3 linked regions of the Arabidopsis thaliana genome follow. The protein of the gene in region 2 binds, or shares a complex with, the protein of the main gene of each other region. Each region holds a gene or a part of one and is shown on either strand. Other genes may lie near its edges. The genes, in order: SYN2, SYN3 and SYN4.

The links.
Region 1: SYN3 (region 2) and SYN2 share a complex: the UniProt entries of both Arabidopsis thaliana proteins name them as parts of the cohesin complex.
Region 3: SYN3 (region 2) and SYN4 share a complex: the UniProt entries of both Arabidopsis thaliana proteins name them as parts of the cohesin complex.

The regions. Positions count from the first base shown.
Region 1 is NC_003076.8:16,355,122-16,365,604, reverse strand, and holds SYN2 (Rad21/Rec8-like family protein), read left to right. Parts: upstream 1-1,726; 5' UTR 1,727-1,882; coding exon 1,883-2,006; intron 2,007-2,150; exon of another isoform or gene 2,151-2,544; coding exon 2,545-2,818; intron 2,819-2,898; coding exon 2,899-2,936; intron 2,937-3,014; coding exon 3,015-3,061; intron 3,062-3,218; coding exon 3,219-3,289; intron 3,290-3,361; coding exon 3,362-4,119; intron 4,120-4,198; coding exon 4,199-4,310; intron 4,311-4,395; coding exon 4,396-4,532; intron 4,533-4,604; coding exon 4,605-5,188; intron 5,189-5,300; coding exon 5,301-5,337; intron 5,338-5,559; coding exon 5,560-5,581; coding exon of another isoform or gene 5,582-5,585; exon of another isoform or gene 5,586-5,668; coding exon 5,669-5,801; intron 5,802-5,898; coding exon 5,899-5,994; 3' UTR 5,995-6,274; downstream 6,275-10,483. Other genes in the region: AT5G40830 (S-adenosyl-L-methionine-dependent methyltransferases superfamily protein), read left to right, coding at 9,750-10,483. UniProt on the Arabidopsis thaliana protein: May be involved in sister chromatid cohesion during mitosis.
Region 2 is NC_003074.8:21,992,550-22,003,032, reverse strand, and holds SYN3 (Rad21/Rec8-like family protein), read right to left. Parts: upstream 5,982-10,483; 5' UTR 5,772-5,981; coding exon 5,648-5,771; intron 5,415-5,647; coding exon 5,156-5,414; intron 5,071-5,155; coding exon 5,024-5,070; intron 4,935-5,023; coding exon 4,885-4,934; intron 4,777-4,884; coding exon 4,742-4,776; intron 4,627-4,741; coding exon 4,142-4,626; intron 4,050-4,141; coding exon 3,944-4,049; intron 3,867-3,943; coding exon 3,730-3,866; intron 3,632-3,729; coding exon 3,120-3,631; intron 3,030-3,119; coding exon 2,944-3,029; intron 2,859-2,943; coding exon 2,720-2,858; intron 2,639-2,719; coding exon 2,537-2,638; 3' UTR 2,296-2,536; downstream 1-2,295. Other genes in the region: AT3G59570 (Ypt/Rab-GAP domain of gyp1p superfamily protein), read left to right, coding at 982-1,446, 1,560-1,643, 1,830-2,003; AT3G59540 (Ribosomal L38e protein family), read left to right, coding at 6,291-6,293, 6,626-6,809, 7,114-7,136; LAP3 (Calcium-dependent phosphotriesterase superfamily protein), read right to left, coding at 7,869-8,250, 8,324-8,491, 8,576-8,860, 8,947-9,323; RBL13 (RHOMBOID-like protein 13), read right to left, coding at 10,170-10,483. UniProt on the Arabidopsis thaliana protein: May be involved in sister chromatid cohesion during mitosis.
Region 3 is NC_003076.8:5,311,535-5,322,017, forward strand, and holds the start of SYN4 (sister chromatid cohesion 1 protein 4), read left to right. Parts: upstream 1-4,662; 5' UTR 4,663-4,966; intron 4,967-5,223; 5' UTR 5,224-5,248; coding exon 5,249-5,372; intron 5,373-5,546; coding exon 5,547-5,808; intron 5,809-5,907; coding exon 5,908-6,005; intron 6,006-6,090; coding exon 6,091-6,140; intron 6,141-6,506; coding exon 6,507-6,559; intron 6,560-7,012; coding exon 7,013-7,112; intron 7,113-7,327; coding exon 7,328-7,796; intron 7,797-7,875; coding exon 7,876-8,295; intron 8,296-8,398; coding exon 8,399-8,537; intron 8,538-8,838; coding exon 8,839-8,975; intron 8,976-9,075; coding exon 9,076-9,944; intron 9,945-10,019; coding exon 10,020-10,053; intron 10,054-10,274; coding exon 10,275-10,386; intron 10,387-10,483. Other genes in the region: ELF9 (RNA binding (RRM/RBD/RNP motifs) family protein), read left to right, coding at 119-208, 307-441, 536-598, 687-907, 1,253-1,480, 1,883-1,975, 2,056-2,094, 2,187-2,273 and 6 more. UniProt on the Arabidopsis thaliana protein: Involved in sister chromatid and centromere cohesion during mitosis.

The sequences.
Region 1 (10,483 bases), on a different chromosome or scaffold from region 2:
GTCACTCGCAAACGCTGTATTTGCGGGTGCTAGCGATTGTTAGCGATTGACATCAATCATAGAAACCGCTAGATACTGCTTTACACCGTTCAAAATCGCCAGATTTCAAAAGCTCATTCCCGCAAGCATTTGCGGTTGCGGGCGGTAGCAGTTAGGTTATTTTTTTTTTTTAATTAATTAAAATAATTATGTCTTCTACCCAAACCCTATATATCTTATTCTTATTAAAAAAAACCTAATCAATATTTAACGGAAGATTCCAAAGATCCCAAAATCAGATTTCTAAGTGATGTTCAAAAAGAAAATATTCTTAAGAATATTAACGACCAGTTTGGGAAAAATTTGAGTTGGAGATGTGTTAAAAATCGTTTGGATATCTTGAAGAAACTTTATCATATGTATAGAGGCAATCCGGAAAACCCGCGAGTTCAACGTTATTTATAGTTTATCACACTACTTGATGCAATTTTTGGTATGTACCAAATGCATAAAGTATTAAACTTTTTCTTACAAAATTTATTTATTTTAAATTTAATGTTTTATTTATGGTTTTAATTATTAAGCATGTTTAATTTTTCTAATATTATCAATTTATCATAATAATATATTGTATTTTTCTTTCTTTTAATAGTAATATATTATATTTATTTTGGTTTTTTATTTAATTACTATCACACTTGCTGGTTTACCGGTCATAAAACTCCCGAAAACGCACCCATTATCAAACGCTTAACCAGTCGTTTAAAAGGCTTGATAACGCTTAAAACCGCAACCGGCCGTTTCCGCAAACTTGCGCAACCGTAACCGCACCCGCTGTATTTAAACCAGTCAGGCCCTTATATAAGAATTGATCAAATTATTGGGCTTTTAAGAGTTAGGTCGAGAGACTTTTTATTGGGCATAATTTTATTCTATTCAGGCCCATTCGCAACGTAATGCCACGTCGGACCAATGGTCTATGAGATGTCGCTGTCACTTAAACGCCACGTAGACTTTTAACCGGACACGTGTTATACAAAATGACTGTGCGCAGTTATAAACGTTTAAACGCTCTTAACGATGCGTGAAGGAGTGAGACAGCTCACATTTCCATCAAACTAGTCGTTATCTTTTAGTGTGGTAGTATTATATTATTTATTTACTTCTTTTTCTGTAGAATTTAGAAAAGGTAAATATAAATATGAAGTCAATAATCAGCATTAGCATATTTCAATTCAATTGTTATCTTCGTTGATTAATTTTTAACAGCAATGTTTTTTTTTTTCCTATTCAAAAAATTAACTTGTATATATATATATATATTTTGTTTATCCAAAATTAATTAAATAAATTATAAATTATCTAATACTATCAGACTATCACTCCCTCCAAAATTATTTTTTCTATTCTTATGGAAAAATAGGAAATTGCACAATTAAAAAGGAGAAGGTTTTTTTTTTTTTTTTTTGATCAACAGAGAAGGAAGTATCAATTAAAAAAAAATGCATAATTAAGAAGGTGTGATTTTCTGGTCACCGTCTAATTAGGAAAATTTAAATTTATGACACCTAATTCAAAACATTTTCAATTTCCAAAACTACATAACTTGTCAATAGACTTTAAAAAGTTTAATTACTCTAAAACGACTTGAAAATAAACAGATTAAGCGTGACTTAACAAGAAAAAAAAAAACTAAAATTAAAATTAAAAGAAAAAAAGTTAATCGGTTTAGTAAGAAGCTTGTTCCGTACACCGCTTGACCGTTTCCTTCTCCTCAATTTCTTCTCTCCCTCGCTTCACTATTTTACGAAGTTGCTCGCTCTCTCTCTCTCTCTCGCTGCTCTCTTAAAAAAAACTAACCTTTGTCTAAAACCCAGAATCTGGTAAACCTTCACACTCAAAAATGTTTTACTCGCATTGTCTAGTATCGAGAAAAGGACCTTTAGGAGCTATTTGGGTCGCTGCCTATTTCTTCAAAAAGCTTAAGAAATCTCAAGTCAAAGCTACTCATATTCCTTCTTCCGTTGGTTTGTCTTTCTCCTCCTTCACATTCTTCTTCTTCTTCTCTCTGTTCTAGTTAGAGATTTTTCTCCGGCGATTGGAAAAGTGATTGTTTGAGTGAAACTTTGCAGCTTTAGTGGATTTTTTAGCTGGAATAGAATTTTAGGGTTTCGTTTGTATCCATTGGCAGCGTTAATTAGAGATCACTGTTGATTTTGTTGGGGTCTTTCAATGTTACTTGTTTATGTTCATCAGTTGTTTGACAAAATGCCTGAGTGAACCTCAGAGATTGAGTTCAGTGATTTATTTTAAGTCTGAATAGTATCGAATCCTTAGTAGTATCAATCTGCCTTTTCTCATATAAACTTAAATCTAAACATTTCATCTTACTCACTTAGTATCAGAAAGCTGCTGGTCAACGCTTAGTTTGCTTGATCTCTAAAGTACTTGTATCCTCGAGAAAGATGGACTTTTTTTCTACAACATTTGACATTTTCAGTATTTTTTACTTTAATGACGTTTCTGATGTGTAATTCTTCGGGGGTTTTTTTTTTGGATGCACAGATCAAATCTTGCAAAAAGAGTTAGATGCGTTGACATACAGAGTTTTGGCGTATCTTCTTCTTGGTGTTGTAAGGATATATTCCAAGAAGGTTGACTTTTTGTTCGATGATTGCAATAAAGCGTTGATCGGTGTAAAGGAGTTTGTGGCTAAGGAAAGGAACAGAGAAAAGACAGGTGTATCATTGCCTGCATCTATCGAGTGTTTTTCCATTGCTTTACCTGAGAGATTTGAACTAGATGCTTTTGATCTTGGGGTTCTGGAGGATTTTCATGGGTATGCTTGTTATTTCTATATAGAATGTATTTCGCAGAGATTCTTTCATAGTCTCAACTCTTTTGTTTCTTCTTTCTCAGGGGAAATGTTAAGCCGCATGAAGATATTACACTTAAAGGTATCTTATCACTAAAGTCGTTTAAAGGGAATCTCATCACTGTTCATTTACTAATACCACTGCACTGCGATAAAACAGATGGAAGTCAGGAAACAGAGCGCATGGACATGTATTCGATGGAAAGGGTATGGTTTCTCACCTTATAGATTACTGAGTGTGTAACTGTTAGGTTCTAAGCTACTACAGCGTATATTGACATTGTTTCTTCGTTCCATTCCTTTTAATTCTGGTAATTTCGTGAATCTATATATGTAATAAAGATAATGCTTTGTGGAGTTGCAGTTTGACATGGAAGAGGACCTTCTGTTTACGTTTCATGAGACTTTCTCTACCAATCATAATGAAAATAAACAGTGAGTCTGATATTTTTGGTTCCATACATGTAATCGGCAAACACAATCCTAATTTTCTGTTTGTTGTTGCAGTGAGAGTTTTGCTCATGATATGGAATTGGATGCAGAAAATGTCAGAGATACCACTGAAGAAGCATCCGTCAGAGTCGTTGAAGCGGAACCACTGGATTCTAATGAACCATCCAGAGATCATCAAAATGCATCTAGGCATAGAGAGGATCCAGAATCAGATGACATTCTTCTGGAACCGCAAATGTCCGAAGATATCCGAATAGCTCAAGAAGAAGATACAGTTAGAGAAACCATATGTACCATTGTGCAGAGACTAGTGGATTCTCATGAATCCTCAGGAGATAATCTACACAGAGATGGTCACACAGAGAATTTAGAATCGGAGAAAACCTCGAAGAAAACAAGTTGCGAAGAGATGCAGCATGACAGGTCCCTCCCATCTGAATGCGGAATACCTGAAGCAATTCATGGGATTGAGGATCAACCTTCTGGTGCCACAAGAATTAATGGGGAGAAGGAGATCCCTGAGATGAGTACTCTAGAAAAACCAGAACCAGTATCTGTGACTGGTTCCAGAGACTTGCAAGAAGGCGTAGAAAAATGTCGAGACCATAATGAAGCGGAAATGGCAGACTTTGAATTGTTTCATGGGTCTCATAAAGAGCAATCTGAAACTTCTGAAGTGAATCTCCATGGTTCCGAGAAAGGTTTTCTCTCTGACATGACTGTTTCTAAAGACCCTAGTAGCGAATTTAATGCAACAGATACTCCAGTTACTGTCACTCCCAAAACACCTTCCCGGTTGAAAATTTCTGAAGGTGCACACTTTATTGAAATATGAGCTTAATATACTTTTAGTTACGTTTTTAGCGTGTTAACCTATACTTTGAATTACAGGGGGAACAAGTCCACAGTTCTCGATCATCCCTACGCCGGCTGCGAAGGAGTCTTCTCGAGTTTCACGGAAAAGAAAATGTCTGATAGATGATGAAGTGATAATTCCGAACAAGTAAGAGAACTATTTGTAACCTGGATTAGATTCGTCTGCAGAGTTCCGTACAAGTATGTAATATTTGGTTCTTTTGTTATTGTAGAGTTATGAAGGAAATGATAGAGGACTCAAGTAAATTGCTTGCAAAACGGAGAAACGTACCTCATACTGACTGTCCTGAGAGGAGAACCAAACGTTTTGCCAATCCTTTTCGAAGTTTTTTGGAACCTTTGATTCAGTGTAAGTAAAACCTGGTAATCCGCTGTATATCGTATTGTATTGTTGTGTTTGCTGATTGTTGTAATCCCGCAGATGGTTCTTCGGACCTCCAGTCGCTTTTTTGTCAACCCATCAAGCTTAAAAACTGGGCAACCACAGGAACCCCTAAAGATACTAAAATCGCTAGACATAAGGAAAAGTCTTCTCTTGACACTGTCAGATCTCCTGGGGTTATTTTATCTTCAGATCAGACTGAGAATACTCAAGAAATTATGGAGACTCCTCAGGCTGCTGCTCTCGCTGGGCTGAAAGTGACAGCCGGAAATAGTAACGTGGTTTCGGTTGAGATGGGAGCAAGTTCTACAACTTCTGGAACTGCTCATCAAACAGAAAATGCCGCAGAGACACCTGTGAAGCCTTCAGTTATTGCTCCAGAAACACCCGTGAGGACATCAGAGCAAACAGTGATTGCTCCAGAAACACCAGTAGTCTCTGAGCAAGTAGAGATTGCACCTGAAACGCCGGTGAGGGAATCAATGTCGAAAAGATTTTTCAAGGACCCTGGGACCTGTTATAAAAAATCCAGACCTGCAAGTCCCTTCACTTCCTTTGAGGAGCACCCGTCTGTGTATTATGTGGAAAATAGAGATCTTGATACGATTTTAATGAACGATGAGGTACTGCTGTGTTGCATCCTTCTGATAGTAGTTAAAAAGGTTTTTATAGTTCTTTTAGCCTATCTTATTTAATTGCAAGACTGAGCATTTTTTTTTTTTGTTTCTGCTTCAGCAGGTGAATGCAGATGAAAGACAGGACTTACAACAAGGTAAAACGCATTCTGAATTTTTGTAGGTCTCATGAGTGCTCAGGCTTTTATTGATTTAGTAGACAAGAATCTATTAAGTTTCTGAAATTATATGTAGCTTTGAGTGAAAGTTTCAACCATCGAAATATACGCAACTTATTTGGAATCCAAATCTTATCAAATTGTTCTTGTTGCATGTCGATCATCGTGCTGCGTCCTTACCATGTATATTTTGATTTGCAGAGACATGGTCCTCAAGAACAAGGTAACAGACTCACACTTTCGGTATCAACAGCTTCGATTCGCTTACATTCAGATGATTATCCTGGTTTTCTGACGCTGGATTGTACAGGAATGTGGCGAAATTCTTGGAAAAGACGTTTTTGGAACAGAGGGAAAGAGAAGAAGAAGAGAAGGTGAGTTTGTTGCAACTGTGTAGAGGAAGAACTCAGAAGGAAAGCGCAAGACTCTTCTACGAGACTTTGGTATTTCTCAATTTTTTTACAAGCACATGTCTTCACCGTTTTATCTGTCTCCATGAAAGACTTAAGATGGAGAAACTCTCTGAATTTGATTTTGCAGGTGTTGAAGACCAAAGGATACGTGGAAGTGAAGCAAAATCATCCATATAGTGATGTTTTTCTCATGCGTGTTTCCAGACCACAAAAAGCTTGTTGAAAAATGGATATTTTCTTCACTTAAGATTTTCCTCAGATTTCTTCAGTTAGGTTTCAGATTAATGTTGTTAGCTTTTAGTATCTTCTAACAAAATAGCTATTTTTAGTTTTTCTTTTAAGTTAATTTTTAGTAAGAATAATTGACGATCTAAAGTATATGTGTCTTATCAAGTTTTTAAGTTTTTAAAGAGTCCTTAGCCATGCTATAGATTGTTTTAACGACTAGCAGAATTGTTAACATGTGATAACGGGTGCCAGAGTTTCGTTAAGGACTGATAACGCTACATCTATTTTGATCAACGAATTTATATATTTCAAACGTTTATAAATATTTAGTTCACTAGATTTTAACTCGCGGTATATTGCGGGATGATTTTTTTTTTTAAAGTAGTATATATCAAAATTTGCAAAATATATGTATTTATAAAATATTGATTCAAACATATTCATCATATAACACCATTTCAAAATCCAAAATATAATTTATTCTGTAATTTTTTTATCCGTCTCGTAATTTGTTTTTTAAAAATATTAATTTCTAAAATTTAATAATTATTTATTATATATAAAAGTATACAAGTTGTATTATTCTCTAAGTCATTTATATTTTATAGTTTAACTTTATATATAATAACATTATACCACATAACATTTTTGGTTTTATACAATTTTTTCTAAAAAAATAATTTTGATATGTCTAATATTGGTGGTCTTAAAAAATAATAAATTAAAAATTTAACCCGTATTAAAGCGGTAGATTAATGATATTTTAAGTTTTTATTAATATTGAATCAAAAATCTATCCCTTCAAATCCGTTTTGCCAAAAAGCAATTTATTTTATTAATCTTATTTATGATATGACTATTCGGTAATTGGCATGTGATCCGTATTTAGATCCAATAAGCCTCATAATTAAGAGATGGATATTATTATTAAATGACTTTGCTAATTTTAATGACGTGAAACGATTTTGTTCTTGATTAGATTTTTTTAATGACGTTGTCATGTAATTAGTTAGAAAGTTAAGGTTATATTTTAAATTGGACTTCCCAAATAATATAGTAGGACTAGATTTTAACCCGCGGTATACCGCGGAACGATTTATTTTTAAAAGTAATATATATTAAAACTTGCAAATTTTATTTTTACAATATATTTATATTTTACAGTTTATAATTGTTATTAAGTAACGCTATACCACGAATTCATAAGACAATTGTTAAAAAAACTGAAGTTTTGACCCCTATTAAAACAGCATATTAATAATATTTTAAAATTTTATAAATATTGATTCAAATACATCCACCATATAACTCAATTCTAAAATAAAACACGTTCTGTAATTTCTTTACCCGTCCCATGATTTTTTTTTAAAGTAGTAATTTTTAAAATCTTAGAATTATTTTTTATATATAAAAGTTTTGCCAATTGTATCATTCTCTAATACATTTATATTTTATAGTTTAATTTTATATATAGTAACATTATACCTACCACATAACATTTTTGGTTTTATATAATTTTTTCTAAATTAGGATGATTTGATATGTTTAATATTAGTGGTCTTAAAAAATAATAAATTAAAGATTTAACCCATATTAAAACGGTGGATTATTTATATTTTACTTTTTTATTAATGTTGATTCAAAAACCCGTCCCTCCAAATCCGTCTTGCCAAAAAGTCATTTATTTTATTAATATTAGTTTTATTAATGATATGACTCTGAATTATAATTTAAATATTTTAGCTAATAATATAGGAGTGCACCATATTTATTTAATAGGGGAATGTACCATATGACCCGAATGCATTTTTATCCAAATCCACCAAAAAAGTCTTGCAAAAATACTATAGAGATAAGAAACGATAGTCGGTTTTGATAGATATAAGATAAGCAAATATATTAGTTAGCTTAAATTAGTTAAAGAATACAAATTAAAAAGGTATATTACACTTTATTCAAATATAGTATCAAAACTTATATAACACAGAGATTTGATAATTTTTTAATTGTTGAATACTTTTTTTGTTCTAATTTTATGTGATTAAGATTTAATTGATTACATATATAAAATATTAAATTGACTTATTTGTTTATAATTTGGTAACAGATAGATATTTGAATATTCAGTATATTTTGCTTCAGTTTAGGAAATCTTTGATGACCCGTCTTTAGATCCAATAAGTCCTATAATCTAGAGATTATCTGCAGTATACCGCAAGTATGCTTATATTTTAGTTAAACTAAAATTTTTTATTGTAAAGATGATTTAAAAATATATGATATTATTTTATTTGATTTTAAATGTATAGTAAACTGTGAACTGTATATGTTTTGTTGATATTATCTATATTGTTTGGTGTTTAAGATTATACACTTGTAGTTTGATTGTTAATTTAAGAGTTTCACATGTAGTATACCATCTTGTATTAATATCGATCTAAACCCGTCAATTGTAGGATTTTCCAGCTTGTATTAAAAATTGAATCACATCTAATATGTTATTAACTATTGTCGTATATAAGATTATAAATTTTCAATATAATATGTATGAAATTAAATATAAATATTTCAAATTTATGTCCCGTTACTCAGTAGAAAGTTTTCTTAAATCTATTTTTCACCCGTTATAATATTATTTCATGTATTGAACAGTTTATATTCGTTTTTAAAAATTCAAATTATGGCATATGCGAAAAAAACTCTAATTATTTTTTTATAATGATGATATTATTTTTTCGTAAAAATAGAATCATATAAAGATGAGAAGTGAACTATAATAATTAATAAAAATTAATATGATAATTTAGATACCAAATATAGTTTGTTGATTTTAATTGGTTACTTTTTTGGAAATTAATAATGTATTTCGTTTTTCTAATTAAATTAAATTAATTAAAATTTAGATATCAAATCTTATATGTTGATTTTGATTGGCTATTATTTTTGGAAATTAATAATGTTTTTCGTTTTTTAATTAATTTAATTAATTAAATTAGTATTTGATTTTTTAATTTTTAAAGAGATAAATTAATTTAATTTTTAAAATTTTATTTCTAATGGCATACTTATGTAATTACTTACAAAAATTAAAGTTATATTTAAAATATAATTCTCAAATAATATAGTAGGATGTTTTAAATGGCTATATATAAAAATAATGTATAAAATAACTAATATATTTATATGTTGTAGGATTAAATGACATCAAAATAACATCAAATTATAAATTTGAATGGAAATATAATTTGCCAAAAAAAAAAAAAGAGAATATAATAAATTACTTTATTATTCGTTTGTCGGCGATATTCTGTCCTCGTCACTCGTCACTCGTCACTCAGTAGCTTTTCTATACTTTTCTATACTTTTCGATATGTTCATCGGCTGAATCAGAGTAGGTCACTGGATCTCTCGTAAGTCTCTCTTCTTTCTTTGTTTTTCGATGCTATTAATCTCATATTGCTTTTTATATTCATCGTGATTCCTCTTTTTTGATTTGGTAAGATCTGTTGATACTCGTTACTAAATCCCAGAAATTGAGATCTTCTCTTGATTGTTTCGATCATCTGTTATTGGACTATTTATGTATGTACAAAAATTTCAAGGATCCTCAGGATAGTTCTTCTCTTTTGTCATTGTTTCAGAAACCTATTTGATGCTCTTTCGTTTCATGTTTGAAATTTGCAGATCCGATCATAGGTTCAACAATATGGAACAAATTTGGAATTGATGCAATATAAGCTACATTGAAGTATGGGATCTGTATCGCTGAAGATTGGCGATGGAACCGCAAGATTCAAGCGATCAACGCTTTTTTCTTCAGCTATCAACCTCCTTATGCTTTTCTCTATAGTCACTACAAATCTCTTTGCACTATACGCCTTCTCGTCTCGGTCTCAATCCCACACGCCACACCCTCTTCATTCCAACAATGTCTCTTTGGTTTCTCAACATCTCTCACTCATCCTCAGAGAAATCGATTCCTCCCACCACACACTCACTCAGATGGAGAAACAGATTATTGGTTATGAATCTCTCGATCTCTCGCAACAAGAAGTTCCACAAGAGCTTAAACTTTTCCTTCAACAACATCAGCTTCCTCTTGGTAAAGATTCTCGTACTGGTATCACACAAATGGTTGCATCTGTTGGACATTCCTGTGAAATGTCTCTAGATTTGTTATCTCAGTATATGTCGTATAATGTCTTTGAAAAATGTCCTGATGATTGGAGCCTAGCTCAGAAGTTGATTCTCCGTGCTTGTGAACCGTTGCCACGCCGTCGATGTTTGGCTAAAACGGTGCATAAACCAGGTCTCGCTTTGTTTCCTGATTCTTTGTGGAGACCAGTTGGTAACAGTAGTGTTAACTGGAGCGGTCTTGGCTGCAAAAGTTTCGAATGCTTGAAAGGTAAGAAACTGAGCCGGGATTGTGTTGGTTGCTTTGATCTAGCTACTAGTCATGAGAAAGATAGGTTTGTTAAGGTTAA
Region 2 (10,483 bases):
TGCGGGTGGTAGCGGTTGTTAGCGATTGGCACCAATCATAGAAACCGCTAAATACCGCTTTGGACCGCTCGAAATCGCCGGATTTCAAAAGCTCCTTTCCGCAAGCGTTTGCGGTTGCGGGCGGTAGCGGTTAGGTTAGAAAAAAATAATTCTTTTTCTAATTAATTAAAATAATTTATTTTTTAATTAATTAAAATAATTTTGGCTTCCACCCTAATCACTATTATAATATATTGTAACCTTATTCTCTCAATTATGACATTCACCCAAACTGATGAAAATCAAAATCAATAATCAAACTTAAGTATCATCTATCTTTTTATCCATTCATTAGCTAGTATAATTTTTTAAGTATTTCATTGCATCGTTGTTTTTTTATTTTGTATTCTTTTGAGTTTTTTGATTGAATGCATGTTTCGATTTGTATCACACTACTTGATACAATTTTTGGTGATGTACCAAATACATAAAGGATTAAGTTTTTTTCTTACAAAATTTATTTATTTTTGAATTTAGAGTTTTATTTATGGTTTTAATTATTAAGCATGTTCAACTTTTCTAATATTATCAATTTATCATAATAATATATTGTATTTTTATTTCTTTTTATAGTAATATATTATATTTATTTTGGTTATTTTTATTTAATTACTATTGCACCCGCTGGTTTACCAGTCATAAAACTCTCGCAAACGCACCCATTATCAAACGCTCAACCAGTCGTTGAAAACGCTTGATATCGTTTGAAACCGCAACCGTCCGTTTCCGCAAACTCCCGCAACCGCAGCCGCCGCGTTTAAACCAGTCAGGCCCTTACTAGAATTTGTGTCTCACTCATGATAACAAATGGATTTTAGTTATGTAGTGGTTGCAAGAGACTGGTAGAAAAGAGAATCTTGGATTTCTTATTATACATATGTGCCTTCACGTACCAGATTCAAAACTCTTGCATATGTATTCATGGATCTTTATCTGTTGTAGATGATGTGGGCTGCTGATTTTGATGAGTCTTTTGCTGAAACTTTAGAGAAGGATTGCTTGAAGCCGTTGGTTGTTCAGCTTCCAAAACGATCTGGAGTTGATATGGGGGACCATAAAATAGATGATGGAAATGGCACAACTACAAATAGTGAATCAACTTCAAAGAGCGACCGGACTTCAAAGAGCAGTCTGTTGTCCAAGAGCGGTCTACTGCCAGAAAGTGGTCCATTGCCAAAAACTGGTCCGCTGTCTGATGATTTTGGGATGAAGCCAGCAGGTTCATACAGTTTATGTGGCTTGACAAGAAATTTATGGTCTAGGAATGAAAGAACCCATGCCTCTTGTGTAGTTTCATCCTGTGGGAAAGGAGATGACCCTCTTCCAGTCTTTTGTGTGGCGGCTATTCTAATCATGAATCGGCATAAAATCATGAAAGAAACTCGCTCGATCGATGACATGATAAAGGTAGGATGTTTTTCACTGCATTTGTGCATGTTGGGCTTTGTTTCTTTGCTGAATACTACTGTTGTACTTTTTATACTACGATAAAACTTCTTACTGATTTTAGATATTTTCAGATTTGTAATGACAAGCTGCTTGCAATTAGAGTGAGAAGATGCATACGCACAGCCATAAAACTTCGTAAGAAATACTTGTACAAGGTTAGATGCTCAACAAGTTGATTCTTCTTTTCTTCTTCTTCGAAATTCCTTCATATGAATTGAAACGTTATATCTCAGTGCATTCATTTACTAGCGTATCCTTTCATACTTAGGGATAAAGTATACATAGTTTTGTTGCATCTGGCAATATTCCATCCTCATATCGAACTGCATACCTTTTATTAGAATCAGGTAATCAAGATTGAGAGCCACATTCAGTCTCAGAATCATAAACACCATGAGATACAGAATCAAACCGCGATGGAGAACCAAATCCCAGAAGAGATTACAAGTCATGATGAGAACTGTAGCCAAAGACCAAGTTTATGCAATGGTCCTGTCATGCCCCTTAGAGAATGATGACTGATGAGTACGATAGATTCCACCTATAATTTATAATATTATTTCTAGATTTCCATAGTCTGCTAAGATATACAAAAGAAGAACAATTGTAGAATAGGTAGGTCGTCTTTAGATTTTGAAGAAGGTTTTGCTATAACATTTATGAGGTTATCTATGTATACTCCGTTAATTTATGTGATCGATATCTTTGATTCCATCGGTACACATGTTGAGGCTTGAGAGCATCTACACATGTTGAGGCTTGAGAGCATCTAGCTCCATAATTCACTCCATCACAACACGTGCTAGTCTTTCATTTCCAGAATCATAGAGAATCTCAAAAACTTGTTTTTTTACAACATTGTCAAATTTGAACTCAAGTGAAGTATTGGCTAATGATGGAATTTAGACGTTTGTCCATCTCTTAGGGTGAAGCTTTACTTGTACACAATGTAATAAAACCAGGGCTCAAAAAATTAAGAATTGACTACTTCCTCGTCTAGCTTCAATGTTAATAATATACATAAGTAAGTTTATTAAGCATTGTTTATTCACGTTTGAACCTTAGAAAAAAGGGCAGGCATCAACTTCAAAGCGATATCTCCGTATGGTCGGTCCTGTTGCATATCTATAAGTCCCCTAGACTTCAAAACCTGCAAATTCAAAAACAACTCGTCTAAGCTCGAGGCACTACAGAGATACAAAGAAAAACATATGTACAGAGAATCACTCACCAGTGTCTCGAAGAACATTCGAGCAGCTAGCTTCCGTGTCTTTCCTGCCAAGATCTCGCTCAAACTTAGATCTCCAGAAGGATGGCTTGATGTGGTGGGACTACTTGAAGAACGTTGTTTAAGATACTGAGCCAAGGCTCTGCAATGTTCAATGAATGTTACAGGTTAGTAGAGAAACAGTAGGCTCTTAAATGAAATCCACATGGTTTTAGGAATATATATACCTTGCTCTCCCTGTCAAAGCAGCAGAATCTTGACTAGCTGGTGTTCCTACTGGGGAATTGCCACCTACCTCCAGGAAATAAAGTTCCTGTATGGCACATGCAAATGGTATTGCTATCAAGGTTAGCAACGCACCAAGAATGGTAAAAACAAAACACGCGAACATGCGAGAACAAACCTCGTCAGTCCTTTCAGAAACAGGTGAAAGCCCCAAATTTCTTTGGCCAGGCAAGTCCTCTGGAACTGTGGAAGTTGAAGGCTCTGTTCTATAAGATTCTGTCTCCCAATTTCCAGACTGAGTGGTGAAGTCATCGGTTCTAAAAGGTGAAGATCTTGGAGGTGGTGACGGCATGTACACCGGGAAACCACCATCCCTTAAATGTTCTATTCCCATGTCATCGTTATCAAATGTCCGAGGAGATTGTGCTTCTGTTGCTACAGACTCTGCATGCGCGGGTCGAGGACCTGCAGAGTCTAGGACATCTTCAGTTTGCTGCGCTGGAGATAGCTGAACTGTACTGTCTGGATTAGTAGAATCTGGAATTGGAGAGACCGGATTAATTTCTACTTCAGCTTCTCGAGTAGGAGATACAGATGCAGGTTCTGGTAAAGTTTCATCAGAAACAGCAAGATGTGGCTTTGAAGCTACATAGTCCTTTTCAAAGACATTGCGTAAATCATCTGAGAAGCCTGCAGGTTGACACATACAGGCAATAATCTTTCTTCAAAAACAAAGGGAAAAAGAAGGCAAAACTGTCGAAAATAAAATAATAATCAAAGAAAGTTACCAGTAAACAAGGGCTCATTGAAATTTTGATCCTTCCTTGACTGGTTATTCATTCTCCAAAACTTTAATTTGGATGAAGGCATCTTCTTTCTCTTACGTAGAGTATCACTAGGATCCTTAAGCCTTTCACTTATGTTCCTGTTCAAACTATTTGATCAGTACGGAACAGCTAATGAAATAATCAAAGCCACATGAAGCAACGGAAAAGTTATTACTTGTTGGTTAATACTGTGACACCATCAAAGTTCTTCCTCTTCCTTGCCCTTCTTTGTGGTTGGGGAGGAGGAGATGGCTGAAGCACCAGTTGAGGTGATGGATGCACTTAACATAAAGAAAAAAGTGTTTTAAATAGATAATAAGAGAGAGAATGTAGTGGTTAAGCTTCAAATTATCAGACTATGTTGCTAGCTCACCAAAATCTGCACGTTCTTCCTCAGAACCAGCAGCAGAACCTGGAGATCCTGAGCGAAGCTCAAACGCAGAATGCCTTCCAGAATTTAACATTTCTTCATCAATACTAGGGATAGTGGGTTCCTTCTCATTCAAAGTTTCATCCAATGACTCAGTGCGTTCAACTCTGACATCCTGTTGTTGTGCAGCAAATGATGGATGGGACGTGGGGCTTAGATCATGTGCAGCGTCACGCATTCTCTCAATCTCGGGAACAGTTCCAGGAGAAGTGGCATCGTTTCTCTCGGAATTGGGAATGCGCTCTTCTGTCAAGTTACTTTGTCTAGGATCCTGGACTTCAGTGAATTCCTCTGTGACGTTACGAGGACTATAGGTTCCAGTATCGAAAGCAATATTGGAGTCTCTTGGCTCATTGTCTGGTCCTGTCTCATGAGCCGTTTCAACATCAATTTCTCCGGTATGCCTACTCACAGGTTCTGTTGATTGGCTGCTCAAAGCAAAAAAATATGTAACAACATTATTAAAGAAGATCAACTAAACAGATAAGGAAGATTAAGAGCAAGGTGTAGTAAAGGAAATCAAAACTCTATGAAGAGCCTCACTCGACATCCATCGGGATAGATTCTGAGATGATGTCCTGTAAGAAAGGCATACAAACTTTCATTCAATAACAAGTGCTCGGAGACATGGGAAACAAGAAGTCAGAATCAACTTCAAAGTCATAAGAAGCAAGCAGTAATCTCACCTCGTCGAATGTTACAGCAACATAAGGATCAATGCCAGTAGGAATTTGATCTGAAAAATAAGCATCAACATCATAAACACCTCAAAATCATGGTATGCTGCATCTAGAACCAAGGAAAAAAAACACAGACAAAAGGTACCTGTGAGAGTGATATCTTCCTCACTCCGAGTATGATTATCGAATTCCCTAGAATTCACAAGAAAAGAATGTTAAAGATGAGTCAGGCTTTAGAACAGATAAAAACTCAAATAAAAGCAAGAAAGAAGAATACATGTCGAGAGTGTCATCTTCCAAGTCGAACTCGTCCAGATTTAGTGCTTGAGGCAAAGTAACAGACTCAGGCGGGGCCTGTCTGGCATCCTCAGGCAAGTTAACTTGAGTAGAAACGAAAGCCTTAGCTACCCAAGTATTAAGGAGATTCCAGTCATTGTAAAGATAATCCACTTTCTTTGAATATATTCGCACTACCCCAACTAGAAGGTGACTTGACGTTCTCAATGCCAATGGTACTTCAGGAAACATTATATTATCTGCAAAGCCAATTGCAAAATTCTCGAAAAGTCAGAAACTTTATTAAAGCAGAGAATTTCAATTACTACAATGGGTTATATATAAAAAACAAAATCGGAATTTGATGAATGCCCATGTAAAAATTCGTATTGCCTTTTTGAAATTTCGAATTGGATACAATCAAAGGGGATTCAAAAAAAAAAGAAGCGAACTTTGGATCAAAAAGCGAAAATTGAAGATAGGAAAGACGAACCAACAGTGTCGGGGATGTTGATGGAGGTGTACTGAGACTTCTTGAGGCGTTGGTGCACATGAGCGGCGCACCACACCGTCCCCAATGGACCCTTTCGAGCCAAAAGCGTATGTGAATAAAACATTTTAATTCCTTCGAACAAGGAGCCCTAAAGAAGCAGAGATGGAGATACTGAAGTTGATTTGAGAGAGAAGGATTATCGAATCGAAGGTGTTACATTATTTAGAGAAACCAATCAATTTTGAATAGGAAACTGCAGAGCGAAAGAGAGAGAGACGAAGCGGTAGGGTTTTGTGTGCTTTTGGAGAGAGGAAGAAGTGTTTTTTTAGTGGAGCGGGAAAAAACATTTTGTGGCGCTAATGTTGAAATCATAGGCAAATAGACGCAATGACTTAAATACCCTTTTCTTATTGGATCCGAGTTTTTTGAAATTTGCCAAACAAAACAACTTGGGCCACTAAACCCAATGGCCAACTTTTCGGATTAATGGGCCTAAGGGGTACATTTGGAAATTCGCGTATATGAGAGTCTAGGGTTTTCTTCATATTTAGGTTTCTCTATTTCTTTCAGACGCTGGGTTCTTGCTTTTGCTGTTTGTTCTCTTGAGTGGAAGAAAGTTGCAGCCACTAAATCAGATCCGACAATGGTAAAGTTTTCTTCGCCTCTCAGTTTTATTATTCTCAGGAGGATTATTGAAGCTAAATATTATTTGTTTGATTATCTGTTCTCACGACTAGGATTTTAGTAAAGTTTGCATGATTGAGCTGAAAGTAATCAATCTCTTATTGTGGGTTTCTTGTTTGGTTACTGATAATCTAGTAGATTAGAGTCTTCCTCGTAATTGACCCATTGGTTTAAGTTTCATCTTGAAATGTATGAAGTGTTCATCATGCAGTAACATTTGGGTCGAAGTCTTGTTGTGTGTTCTGTTTTGTTTTGTATTGATTGAAAATGGATGTTGGTTTGGATAATCTGCAGCCGAAGCAAATCCATGAGATCAAGGACTTCCTTTTGACGGCGAGAAGGAAGGATGCAAGGTCTGTGAAGATCAAGAGAAGCAAGGACATTGTGAAGTTCAAGGTCAGGTGCTCAAGGTACCTCTACACACTATGTGTCTTCGACCAAGAGAAGGCCGATAAGTTGAAGCAGTCTCTTCCTCCAGGTTCACTATCTCTCTCTCTCTCTCTCTGTGACTCAGCCCAAACATTACACACTTGAAACCTCTTATCTCATAACATTTGTTAGATTGGATAGATGTTCCTAGCTTTGAGTAATTCATCACTTGAAAGTTCTAGTGTCATAATATTGTTGGATTTTGGTTTTTGAATTCGAATAGTCTTGTGGTTAATCTACTTTAATTCAGACACTTTTAATTGGCATGTTTAGGTCACAAGTTATTTTTGGTTGGTCCATGAACGCATGCGTCTATCTCTATCTAAGTTGAATTTGCCAATTGTTTATTTCAGGTTTGAGTGTGCAAGACCTTTGAAGATCTTATGAAATCAGGATCTATCATGGTTTTATATACCCTTGTCTTAGATGATTTTGTTTTTTCCCTTTCTGCTGTCTTTTGAATGACTATGATTCAGACTTCCGTTGAGTTTCTTTCTTATAACTTCAAGACTAAATTATGAGTTGGATTTGTATTTTTTTTTGCTATCAACTTGGTTAGTAATATATATGGCCCCAACAGTTTGGAGTTTTGGATAGTTGTGCTTTGAGAAGAAAGCAGACACCACAGATTTCATAAAATGTTCATTGCTATGTGATGCCAAACAAACTACAGAAAAAGTTACTGAAAAAAGAGTAAAACGTCGTAATGGAGATGATTGTAACGTCATCATTTTGGAGAAAAAGCAGTCGTTATTTTTCCGTTACCTCTCTGTATTCTCTTTATCTTCAACCTTCCAACACTTTCGAGACTTTCTCTATTGCATACTCTTGTTTTCCAAGGCAATTCTTCATTGCATACTCTTGTTTTCTATTTCGCGGGAGTCGAAGAAGACTGGGCGATGGCTCAAGTTATGAAGCCTTCCATAGGACGTGAACCAAACAAAAAAAAAAAGAGACTCAAGAAAGAAAGAAAGAGAATTTCATGAGGAATCTAAGGTCACACATAATATCAACAAAAGACAAACCGGTCCAAAGGAACTTGAATCAAAACGAAGATAATTAAGTTACAGAGAGATGATTTAGTTCAGGAACTACACAACAAAGTCCTTCATTGATTCATTGTCAAAGGATAAGGTAGAGTGGCAATGTGGTTATGAGCCACTGTTCCAATCCAAAGCTTCATTACCTTCCCTTGTCTATCCTCGAGCACCTCCAGGACTTTACCTTCCTCGTCGAATCTCGATATCACAGTGTACATTCTCATCCCCATCGTTTTCGCAAGCAGCTTCATCGGTATTGGCAACCGAAAGTAGATGCTTCTTATCCAAGGGTTGTTTGTAAGAACCTCTTGTGCCGGTGTTCTGCAACAATCAATTGCAACCCAAAACTGACCCTCTTCATTTATTCTTACATTGTCTGGGAATCCCGGGAGATCTGCCACCACCTCGACTTCACCCATCTTTGGACCCTCCAGCCAGTACTTCACCAATCTGTCATACACATAATGATGAAGAGAAATGAATGATAGATACAGCTATATAAACACAAAGTTGAGGGTCATACCTGCAATTGGTTGTTTCGGTGAAGAGGAGGAAAGATTGGTCTTTAGAGAGTTGAATTCCATTGGGAAAAGCCAAACCCTCCAGCACAATGTGTGTTGTTTTGGTAGGTGGGTCATATCTTAGAAGCCTTCCTGTTGATTCTCCTTCCAGTAATATAAAGAAATGATTCCTACAAAATACAAGTATAATTTCTATATCATACAATTTACGGTAGGAATTGACATACAAAGCAAGAATAAGAGAGTTGTCTTACGCTCTGTCATATCTTTTGCTGGTGTCAGTGAAGAAGATGGAGCCATTTCTATGGATGTCAAGGTCATTGGCAAAGAGTATAGGCTTTCCTTCCACATGAGTAGCTAAAGGCGTAGCAATCCCTCCTTCAGGACCAACCACAAGTAGACCATAGTAAGCGTCTGCAATATACAAATTTCCTGTCTCTTTATGAAATCTCAGTCCAAGAGGCCTCCCACACAGCTTCTCGTGCTTCCATTGCTTGTTTGTTGTTGAATCCACACCTCTCACACAAGCTTCCTCTGACCTAATTCTCATGAACACACATCAATAAGAAAAACTGAAACAAAACTCTCTGCACAAAAAAGAAGTGATGAATATGTAATCTCTTACCATTTTGATGTTACCACCGAAAATGTCTCCCATCCGATTGCTTCACCCATCCATCTAACCACTCTTCCATCAGCCAACCCTGTGTATGGACCACGACCTAAACTATCAAACTCTAATGACTCTGGACCAAAGACTTGGTCCACGAACTCCAGTTTCCCATGATTACCCAGTCGACTAAGGTTGTCTCTAGGCCAGCTTCCCATGACTTCCTTATATGGAGCAACCTCATGCTTCACGGGTTTGAACTCACGACCCCCGATTGGACTCATGTGAAAGGGGTCGATTGCTATGAAAAGTACAGATAAAGCAATGATACAGAGGATCGGATGATGAGTCATCATTGATTCATATGTACCATGCTGGCCTTTCTTCTCCATTTAAAAGTGCTTAGAGGTGGACCAGAAAGTAAGATCAGATTCACCTGATCAATGTACAAATTATATAAGCAATGTAAAACATTGTGGGTGCAGAGAAATGCAGATCTTGTGAATAAAATTGGGTTGAAAGTAGGTTCAATGGAAACAAACAACTAGTCAAAAGTTGATCTAAGTTAGACTACTCTGATACCAAATACAATTCTCATGACTCTATTTGAGATAGAGCTTCAAAATAATCATCTAACCAAAACTGCTCATAAATAAAAACTTGAAACTGTGAATCGGTGATTGTTCTACCCTTCTCTTACCTTCTCTTTTTGGAATATAAAACAAGGAAATGACAGAAGATGGAAACTAATAACAAAAGAAGACACTGCTCTAGTCCAAGAGACCTGCAGAAAACTTCATCTAATTACCTTGTGAACTTGAAAGAGTGCAAATAATATATCGTTCTGCTATTTCACCAATTCAATATATCAAAGAAAAACGAGTAATACAAGACTGTTGGTAGCATGCTTTCGTATTGAAATAAAGGAGAATGTCACAAATGAGGAAACATGTCTAGTGGACGGAATCTTTAGGTAAGACATGGGACCCTTTTGCAACTATACATCAACCACATGACAAAAGAATTGACTGTGTCATATTCATCTGTAATGATGCCTAAACAACACTAGCTTGCTTAATCCTTTTCACCACATTACGCAGTTCAAGCAAGCCTTGAGGATCTCTTAAATTTGGTTGGAACTTGAAACTGCAAAATCTTGGTTACCAACTCTCAGTCTTCATCTACTACCTCGATGACAAGAACTTGTTCCCAAATACAATATTGACCATGAACTGAATTCAGACAACTTCCACTCCACTAAGAGGAACTGCACTGGCTTGCAAGGTCCGGCCATTTCCAATAAACCGCACTGAGGGTAAAGAAGCATCAGTAAGCGATTCGATCTCCAAAAAACTGAAATCATAAGCACCCGATTTCTTCAAACTGAACACAAAGACAACTACAATCCAACCAAGCATAGTAAGAGCCCAGTAGTTGTTCATCCCACCAATCAGACCCCACGAAATGGCGTAACCAACAAGGATTCCCGACAAATGTCCCAGAAAACTAGCTTGTGGAACAATGATCGAAGTGAAAATGAGTGACTCGAATG
Region 3 (10,483 bases), on a different chromosome or scaffold from region 2:
TTGGGAGGGATTTCGAATTTTTCTTATTGGTAGAGAGTTCTTAGGGTTTAGAGGAGATTGATCAGATAATGAAAATTTGGGATGCTCATCTTTATCATCTGTATTTTGTTAATTCTAGGGGCAACAGTTGCAGCTACTGATGTTGGTTGGTACATTCTTGGTGAAAATCAGCAGAACCTGGGCCCTTATACTTTCTCTGAGCTATGTAGTAAGTGTTCATGTTAACAGATTCCTTGTTCTAGTAAGGTTTATAAGAAATACGAGCTATTAAGCGCTGTACTTTACTTGTTTGCTTTGATTGGGCAGACCATTTCAGGAATGGTTACCTACTAGAAACTACTCTAGTCTGGGCTGACGGAAGAAGCGAATGGCAGCCACTTTCTGCCATCCCCGATTTAATGTCAAGGATATCCGGAGCTGAGATTGCCTATCCAGCTGTAGGTAAGATCCTTCTCACCATTGCTAGATAATTGAATTCTTGGTATTTTTTCTAGTATCCCATATTCAGGGCACTTACTATTTGGTATCTGACCAGGTTCATCTGGGTTGATAAATGGATCTAATGCTGGAACCAGGCAAGAGAAGCAAGATTATACTGGTTAGTTATTTATGTAGAAAATGAATTCTTCAATGTTATAATTTGCAAAAGTGTCGACCATGCTTACCACGGTATGTTGTTATTGTAGCCTCTGCTAGTACTGAGGATGAATTTGAGAAATGGCAGAGAGAGATTAAAGACGCAGAAGCAGAGGCTGAAAGGTTGAAAAATGGTTCTGTCTCTGGTACTGAGCTTGTTGAAGATGATCATGAAAGGGCATCTTCACCACCTGAGGGCGAAGATGAGTTCACAGATGATGATGGAACAAAATATAAATGGGACAGAGCTCGTAGAGTATGGGTTCCTCAGGTAAGGCTTTGTTTTGTCCACCAAATCAACCATTCTTTCCCAGTTTCAACTATTTTAGTGAGCTCAGGTGTCCACCTGACTTCCAAGTCGTGAGTGGAATCATTTGTGTGTGTCATCTTGCTTGGTGGCTCATGGCTTTACCTTTTCTGAAGAAATTCTCAATTAATTTGACTATCTCCAATATTTTTATCTGTGTTTATCAAAATTGACTACCAGGAAACCTAACTAGCCTACTCATTGTATTATTTTCTCTTTACTGGTTTTGGTTTTTCCCTAAGGAGCATCTTTTGGAAGAGAAAGTAAGAACTTTTTTAATAACCTAATTGATGATGCTGTTTATTGTAGGACGATCCACCACTGGGTAGCGTTGACCCGTATGGACTCGAAGAGATGACCTTTGCTAAGGAAGACGAAGTATTTCCAACAATTAACATTCTTGATACTTCTGTTGATAAGAAGGATGCCTCTAAGGATGACGTGGCTGGTAAGAAAGAAGAAGATGGCTCTGATGAAACCGCTGAAATAAACAGTAACGGCAAGAGAAAGCTACCAGAGCCAGAAACTGAAAAGAAGGTTTTTCTTTCTTCTTCTTTTGTCTTCCTTTCGGTTTCGTAAATTAACCTTTGATTCATTTCTCTTCCTTGAGGTCATACATGTTACGTCATGTTTGGTCTCACTTAGCTCAACCTCGAGCTGTAAGTACTGGATTTCTTGATTGTGGAGTCTTGATTTTTCTTCAGCTGCTGAATTGTAGTGGGTAAATTACTTTTTTTACTGATGTGCACATCGTAAAGGGGAAAGAAAAACCAAATTGTTCTAAGACATCATACTTATATTGGGACTAGCAGAATACCTTTACTATTTTTTTGTATTAACTAGTAATGGTTGTTTGTGTTGTATGAATCAAAGAAACTAAAGTTGCAATTCCTCATGAAATTTTCTGCAAACGTTTCTAAGTTTCAAATTCATTTTCAGGAACCAAACAAGCCTCCAGATTCGTGGTTTGAGTTAAAAGTAAACCCACATATTTATGTTAATGGGTTGCCCGATGATGTCACCATCGAGGAAGTAAGTTGTGGTCATACTTCTTCTACCATTATGAATATCTGAAGCTTTTAAATGGACTGATAGTAGGTATATCATTACAGGTAGCTGAAGTTTTTTCTAAGTGCGGTATAATTAAGGAGGTAAATCTCACTATCTGAAGATTCTTCCTGTGTTTTATTTTGGAATCCTGTGTAAGTATCCCCTAACAATGTGGATCTGGTAAACAATTCAGGATGACACTGGCAAGCCTCGCATAAAGCTATACAGTGACAAGGCGACAGGAAAATTAAAAGGCGATGCTCTTATCTCCTATATGAAGGTAATGGCTATATTTGAAGTTCTGTCCTCATGGGATGCATAAGGTTATGATTTTAAACTTTGTCTATTTTTCATCTTCATGTGTATTTGTTTTTGTTTTCACTAGGAGCCCTCAGTGGATCTGGCAATTAAAATCTTAGACGGGGCTCCGTTACGTCCTGCTGATAAGCTCCTCATGTCAGTTTCTCGAGCTAAGTTCGAGCAGAAAGGTTAATACTATTGCACATTTGTTGTATAACAACTTATCGGTTATGTAAAACATCCCATCTGTGGCTTTAGTTTCGGCAATATTTTACTTATGGTTTTTATTGGCTTTACTTTTTTTTTACTCAGGGGAGAGATTTATAACTAAGCAAACCGACAACAAGAAGAAAAAGAAGCTTAAAAAGGTCGAGCAAAAGTTGCTTGGATGGGGTACGTTTTCGCTTTCGTGTACTAAAAACTTACCTTATCTCTAGAAAGACGCATAATAGAGAAATATACTAGGAGATGCTAGAGATTCATTTCCTTACGACCATAGGAAGGTTTATTGTTAAAATTATAATTTCTTTTACTAGGAAAAGATGTATCTATATTGTCTGTGCTTTACCAGATCTTTGTGGAACTCTCTAAACTTAACCATTACTTAGCAAAAAGACTGCACTAAAGACTTTTAACCTAATCAATTTTGGAAAGAAACCTTTTAATGACGAGAGTTTAGAAACACGATATAGGGGTTACAGACATATCATTCTTTTCTTATTCTTTCTGGTGACTTGTGATATCTTAACTGATGAGCGTTTCCTGTTATTGAGCCATTTTTTCCTCCTACTATGTTTATTTAGGTCAGTGGCCATTGCGGATGCATGGATCAAAAGGGAACATATAGTCATGTCAATATTATCTATTTCTGATTATTCCTAGTTGATTTTGAGCATATTAAAATCAAAAGAAATGACCATTTTAGTTGTTGAAGTTGGAGATTGTTCCTAGTGGATTCTAAATTTTATCACATTTCCTCTCTTTTGTTGACGTAGGTGGTACAGATGATTCTAAGGTCTCAATACCTGCAACGGTTGTTCTGCGCTACATGTTCAGTCCAGCTGAGTTGATGGTAGGTCTTGTCCAATAGTTAATATGAGAAATGTTGCTATTTTTAAGAGTAGCTGATATAGCTTTGAGCATTTACTCTGTTTGCAGGCTGATGAGGATCTGGTTGCTGAGTTAGAGGAAGACGTGAAAGAGGAGAGTTTGAAGCATGGACCGTTCGACTCAGTGAAGGTAATAATATGATTTCTTTTTATCTTAAGCTGGTGGTCTTGCTTGCTGCATATAGCTTTGTGGAAAACTTGAGATTATTTTGGAGTACCAATCGAATCTCTTCTTTACAGGTATGTGAGCATCATCCACAGGGTGTTGTTCTTGTAAGATTCAAGGATCGGAGAGATGCACAGAAATGTATAGAAGCAATGAACGGTCGATGGTACAAACTCTCCTGAGTCATCATTTCCGCCTAATTGCCATTAGAGTCGGTATTGAGTCTGATGCTTACATGTACTTCTTTCTGTTTCTGGATGAATGCAGGTATGCAAAGAGACAGATACATGCGAGCCTCGATGATGGATCAGTGAACCATGCTACAGTTAGGGATTTTGATTTGGAAGCGGAACGGTTAGATCAGTTTGCAGCTGAACTGGAAGCTGCTGAGTAAAAAACAAAAGCACAATGATCTAAAGCTGGGAAGATTTGGATTATTATTCTGGGAAACTCAGGTTTCTGATGTAAATCACTAGGCACAGACACATCTGAATCAGACCAACGCAAACCCAGAGGACCGGTTTTATCTAGTACTAGTAGTATTACCTGTAGTGAAATTAACGAATAAGACTGCACTTGCAAGTGTATTTTGATATTCGTTGACTAAAAACCTTTACTACTATGTAATACGATTTTCTTCTAGAAATTTGAAAAATCGGAATTTAAAAGTTATGCTTCACTATATTTTTTCCTTATTTGTTAAATCATGATACTTAGCAGTTTTTGTGTGACACCATCACATGAATTTTTGTTTCTATCAATCATTTGTTTAAAATACTTTGTATTGTAGTTTGGACCTAAATTTCATACTTTTACAGCAGAATGTTGTCAGATGATCTCTAATAACAGAATCTTTATTTTTCTGTTTTTCTTATTAAAAAGTTTCGATTTTTTTCAGATTTCCCGCAATGAGGCAAAAGAAGCCGCCGAGTTGAAATATTTTGAAAAAAATGGAAAAACCCAAAATATTTTCAAGTAATAATTAAATGAAGTTAAATACTGTTGGGGCTAGTTGACGAAAACAAAAATTGTTGAAAAATGATCTAAATCTAAAGCTATGCGGGACCCGCTAATCTCTTAACCAATGAGAGAACGACGTATGTCACGGAACATGTGTTTCTTTGCCGCACCAAATCCCTCATTTAATCAAAAATCAACCAAAGATCCAAATTTCGAAACTTTTTAGTTTTTTTTGCATATCGCAATTTCCACAAATTTTACTGTTTTCCTTGGCTGTTGTTGTGTCTGAATCTCCAAGAAGAAAGAGTTGTGTCTTTAAGATTCTGCTTTTACCCAAATTGGGTGTTCTTTTTCCAAGTTTCTGAGAATTAGGGTTTCCGCGAGGACTCTGTTCAAATCGAGCTGTTTTGGACTTGTTTGAGCTTGGTCAATTCTACGGTAATTGATCTACCCTTTGCTCTCTATTCTACTTACCGAAGTAGTCTAGTGTCTCTGCTCAGTGGCAATTGCGAGACTTTGTTGTCGGTTTGAGCTATTTCGATTCTGTTGTCGAAATTTGGAAACTTTTTTTGATTCTCTATAGACGTATCTTTGGGGCTGAAGAAAGGGATTTTGTTATCTGAATAGTTTTTGAAGCTCAATTTTGTTACGGTGAAATTCTAACAAGTTGGTTCCTTTTTGTTGAATTTTTTTAGGGTTTTTTGGTATAGAGGACGAGGAATGTTTTATTCGCAGTTTATATTAGCTAAGAAAGGGCCACTTGGGACAATATGGATTGCTGCCCATTTGGAGAGGAAGCTTCGAAAGAATCAGGTCGCTGATACTGATATTGGAGTCTCCGTTGGTGAGTATTTTGCTACCTTTTGCTTTTGTGTACAATACCTCTGATTCAGGTCTCAGTTCGTTGTGCTCACTAGGGTTAGCAGAAGCTAAAGTTTCCTTCTTTTTCAGTTGTTATGTGGCTAAACAAGTTCATCTAAAATATTTCCTAATATAACTAATTTCTTTTTCTGAGCAGATTCTATTCTCTTTCCGGAAGCTCCGATTGCATTGCGATTGTCTAGTCATCTTCTGCTTGGTGTTGTGCGTATATATTCGAGAAAGGTGAATTACCTCTTTGATGATTGCAGTGAGGCATTGCTTAAGGTAAAGCAAGCTTTTCGCTCTGCTGCTGTTGACCTACCCCCTGAAGAATCTACAGCGCCGTATCACTCTATTACGTTGCCAGAGACATTTGATCTTGATGACTTTGAGCTTCCAGACAATGAGATCTTTCAGGGGTTGGTTTCTTTATGTTTTAACATTCAAACTCGTATTCCACTCTTACTCCAATTTGCATAATTTGTTTATTTGTTGCTCCTTGTTTTCCTGTCTAGCAGTAATTACGTTGATCATCATGTTAGTACAAAAGAGCAGATCACCCTTCAGGATACCATGGATGGCGTTGTATACTCAACGTCACAATTTGGATTAGATGGTCAGTGGTTGTTTCATATTTGCTTGTCTTTAGTTTGTAGATAGCTATGCCGTAGATAAGCAAAGTCATTTTAAAACTTTTGCAGAGCGATTTGGTGATGGCGACACTTCTCAAGCTGCTTTGGATCTTGATGAGGTATTTTTGTGTTTATAATAGATATTTTCTACTTTGTTCAAGTCATTTTGGAACAAGAAATAGGATAACCATATAGAAAGCTGAATATGAAGAGGTTATCTGTAGATTTCATTTGCTTTTAGATTTTGGGTTCTTTCTCTCCTCTGTTTGGGTAGACGCAGCAGCTGGAAGCTCTGATTGGTATCCAGTTGCGGAGTCCTAGACCGTGAAAAGCTTGTAATTTGAAGTGTTAGGTTGCAGTCATGTTGTAGCGTCAGGATAATGTTGATGTTTTCTTTTTCTAGTGAAGCTTTGCATATTTGCAATCAGAACTTCTCTCTTATTATTTTGGATGTGATCTTTTATCATTCCTCTCTTGTTGTGCAGGCAGTATTCCAGGACAAGGATGTTATTGGATCCGACGATGAGGGAGTTCCAGGGTCAGTTTTTGTTCATTATCTTTGGCTATATTCTTTGTAGCATAATTGCTTTTATGCTTCCCTATGGTTCCTCTCAAATTAACTATCGAAGTGTCAGCTTGATCTTCTTTTCTGGAGCTGTTCAGTACCTTTTCTATATTTTCATACCGCTACTTCAGATTGTTATCATAGATTTTAAATGCTCACATTAGGGAAGATCTCGAGTTGACTGAATGATAAAAAGCTTTGCGTTTTGGCGCTTGAATGTGTGTGTTTCAAGCTTTGTAACCATGCTTTTTAAGTTCCATGACATTCATACCTTGAGTTTGTGTTTGTTCTGTAATTGGATTGTGAATTAGAACTGCAATTCTGTGAGTCTTATCCTTCTTGGATGTGGACCTTTGGTGCATAATTTGGACGTGCAAATTATCAATCAAAAGTTTTACTTATGTAAGATATTCTATTTGTTGATAGTATTGATCACAACGCGTATCTGGATGCGGCAGCACCCGGGATAAAGGATTCGATGGAAGGAGTCTCTGAAGCCATGCCCATGGATTTTAATGAAGAGCAGGTGCGTACCATACATAATGCACGAGGGCATACCTATAGTTGCTTAATAATTGTCACCTGAGTCACAGTGCTTAATGTGATATATTTTACTTTGCATTATGTCTGAATGTACATTGCAGTTACAGACTCCAAATTTACAATTTGTTTACACAGATTTATTGGCTTACTTTTCTGGTAAGACTATTGGATAGTATTGTGAATCTCTCTTTTTGATAGGTTGAAGATCTTGCTATGAATAATGAGTTCATCGAAGATGCTCAAGCTCCTCAAACTCCTGGATTAGTTGAGGTGCCAAACTCGTCTAGTGTGAGAGAGCAGATGGCATGCGATGATCACATGGACGTAGAGGATCTGAATGCAGAAGAAGGTATAAAGTCCTCTGGGGAGCTGAATGCTAATGAGATGCCTAAACGTGGGGAAGACCTGTCTTCTGAATATAATGCCCCAGAATCAGCAGTTACTCCTGTGGAGGTAGATAAGTCACAGATAGATGAAAATGTCAACACACAAAATGAGCCGGAGGAGGAGAGGGCAGAGCATGTACATGTTACATCTCCATGTTGTTCTCACATCACCACCGAGATGGAGGATCCTGGTCAAGTAATGAATGAGGCAGGAGCTAATGTTGTACCTGATAAACCCGATGCTGTTCCTCCACTTGAAACCCCTGGAGAAGAGAACCGAGGTTTGTTGGCAAAGAAAATTGCAAACCTTATACGACATCTTAGTGCCTGCCTTATGCTTATAATTTTTATTGTTGCCAGATCATTTTGCCATTGCCACTGAGGTCAATCAGGAAACAGATTCTAGTTTACAAGGAGATGAGCAAGCGTACAGTAGACCAGATGGGCAGCTGAATAATGCACACGAAACTGATGAACAGTTGGGAAATTTGACTGGATTTACCGATTCTGATTTCCCTCCACCTGAGAAGGTATTAGCTGTACCTAACAGACAGGGGGATGGAAATGATTTCATGGTTGAATCTACACCAGATAAAGAAGACCCTGGCACATGTAATGATGATGCGGGGAATAATAACATTACTGGGAAAAAACGCACTTTTACTGAGAGCACACTAACTGCAGAAAGTTTGAACTCTGTGGAGTCAGTTGGACTGATTCAGTCAAAGAGAACTGCAGATTCTGTCCCTGATGACGATGATTTGTTGTCTTCTATCTTAGGTATCAGTTTATTTTGGATACTCTGTCTGTTCTTTTATACATTCTATTGCTCTTTGAGCTAGCTTTATGGATCAATTATCGTTGAATTTTTTTTTTTTTTCAGTTGGAAAGTCATCCTTTCTGAAGATGAGGCCTACCCCTGTGCTTGAACCAGCAACTACAAAACGGTTACGATCTGCTCCCCGCTCTACTGCCACAAAGAGGAAGGTTCTAATGGATGACCCTATGGTCTTGCATGGCGAGTATGTTTGTCTTACTGTTTTCTTATATCTGATTTTCTTATACCTTAGTTTTTTTGTTCCACTGCTCCAAGTGGACCTTTCATAGAAGTTCTTGTTTTAGCTACTTAGGTTCAAGACAGCTAGAGTCAGAAGTAAATTAATGTGAATCTTGAATTCGTTTGACTACTGATTTTTTCTTTACTGTAATTGGAGTTTGGTCTTCTTTTAAGTTTCACACCTTTAATTACCTAGGAGCGATATTTTTTTACCTTATCTCAATTTGTATTTGTTTTCTTCTGATGTTGCCTACTTTTCTGTTTAGCATTATACGTCAACAACTGACAAACACTGAAGATATACGGCGCGTGCGAAAGAAGGCACCTTGCACCGTTCCTGAAATCGTAATGCTTCAAAGGCAGGCTTTGGAGGATGGACTCTTTAAGGAGCCAATATTTACTGGTAAGTTCATGACACTAAAATGTAGACCGTTCTATACACGTTCTGTTGATTGTTCTTATAATCTGCAGTTATATAGCTAATATGTTTCACTGATTTTCAGGTATGTCAGTGGAATTAGTATCTCTGCACACTGAGCCGTATGATCTAAGAGGAATCATGATAATTGAGAATGATGACCGTCATGCTTCTGTTGGAGCGGTGGAAGATAATGAATGTTCTGTTACGGCCGTGGAAGAAAATAAAACGGAAGAAAGCTCTGATCCGCAAGCTCACCCAAATGATTGTGAGGAGCAACCTGGTACGGCTCATACTCACCCGCAGGAGGAACAAACCATAAACCAACAGGAAGAGCTGAAAGATGATAATGAGCTTGCTGAAAAATCTGACTTGGAGGTTTTGAAGGAAGGCAATGGAGCTGCTGATGAAGTAAATCTTGTAGTGATTGACGATGTCAGTCAAATACCGTCTGAGGAAAAACTCGACCGTGTAGAGGATTTACAGGTTGAAGAATCCCATGAAAACCATGATGGAGAAGGCGGGCAGGATGTTTGTGCGGATCCTAATGAAAAAAGTTGCACTGACGTTATTGAAATTGCTGAAGGCGATACAGATATCAACCCCATTTTCAATGAGATGGACTTGAAAGTTGAAGATGAACTTCCACATGAAGATGAGAAAACGGATGCATCAGCTGAAGTTAGCGAGCTTGGGAGAGACGATCAGACTCCATGCGATAACACAGTTGGGTCTACTGAAACTGGATGCCTAGAAGCTGGTGATTTGAGTAACATGGCTTTGGAAAATTGCAATGAACCTCTGGTGGAAGCGAATAGTGATGGGTTGAATCCAGAGACAGAGTCTTATAACAAATACGAACCGCATAATGAGATGTCTAATGAGGAGGCGTCTATGCAAAATGCATTAGATGGAGAGCATACTTCTCGTGATGGTCTTATGGGAGACAATGATGTAAGTTTCTTTGTTGCGTCATATCCTTATTCAAGTAAGACATGTCCCTGACTCTCTTGTTATCTTATGGTGTAGGAAATGGATACCATGGAAAATGCACATGACACAGGTTCTAAGCCTTTTCGAATTTCAATTCTTTTCTTTTCCAAATGGTCTGTATCCTCTTCATTTGATCAATGGGACTGATACTCTGGTCATCATATCCTGGTTCAAAACTGGACTCAACAAGCTTAAACTTGGAGCATAATTTGGATACGAGATGCTGCTAGTGCTATTCCCGATGATTTCTCAATGGTTCTTCTTATTAATTTCTTGCATTCGTGTCTTCAGGATTTTTGAACGTCGATGATGATGAAGTAGATGAAGATCATGAGGAGGATGACATACAATATGATGATGAAACTCGTCTTCTAGAAAACAGTGGATGGTCTTCTCGTACTAGGTCTGTACAGTTTATGACTTGCTCAGATTTTAGCTTCTATCATGTGAGAGACGTGATGTGATGGGCTTGAATTATGAAAGCTTCTGATTCTCTTTAC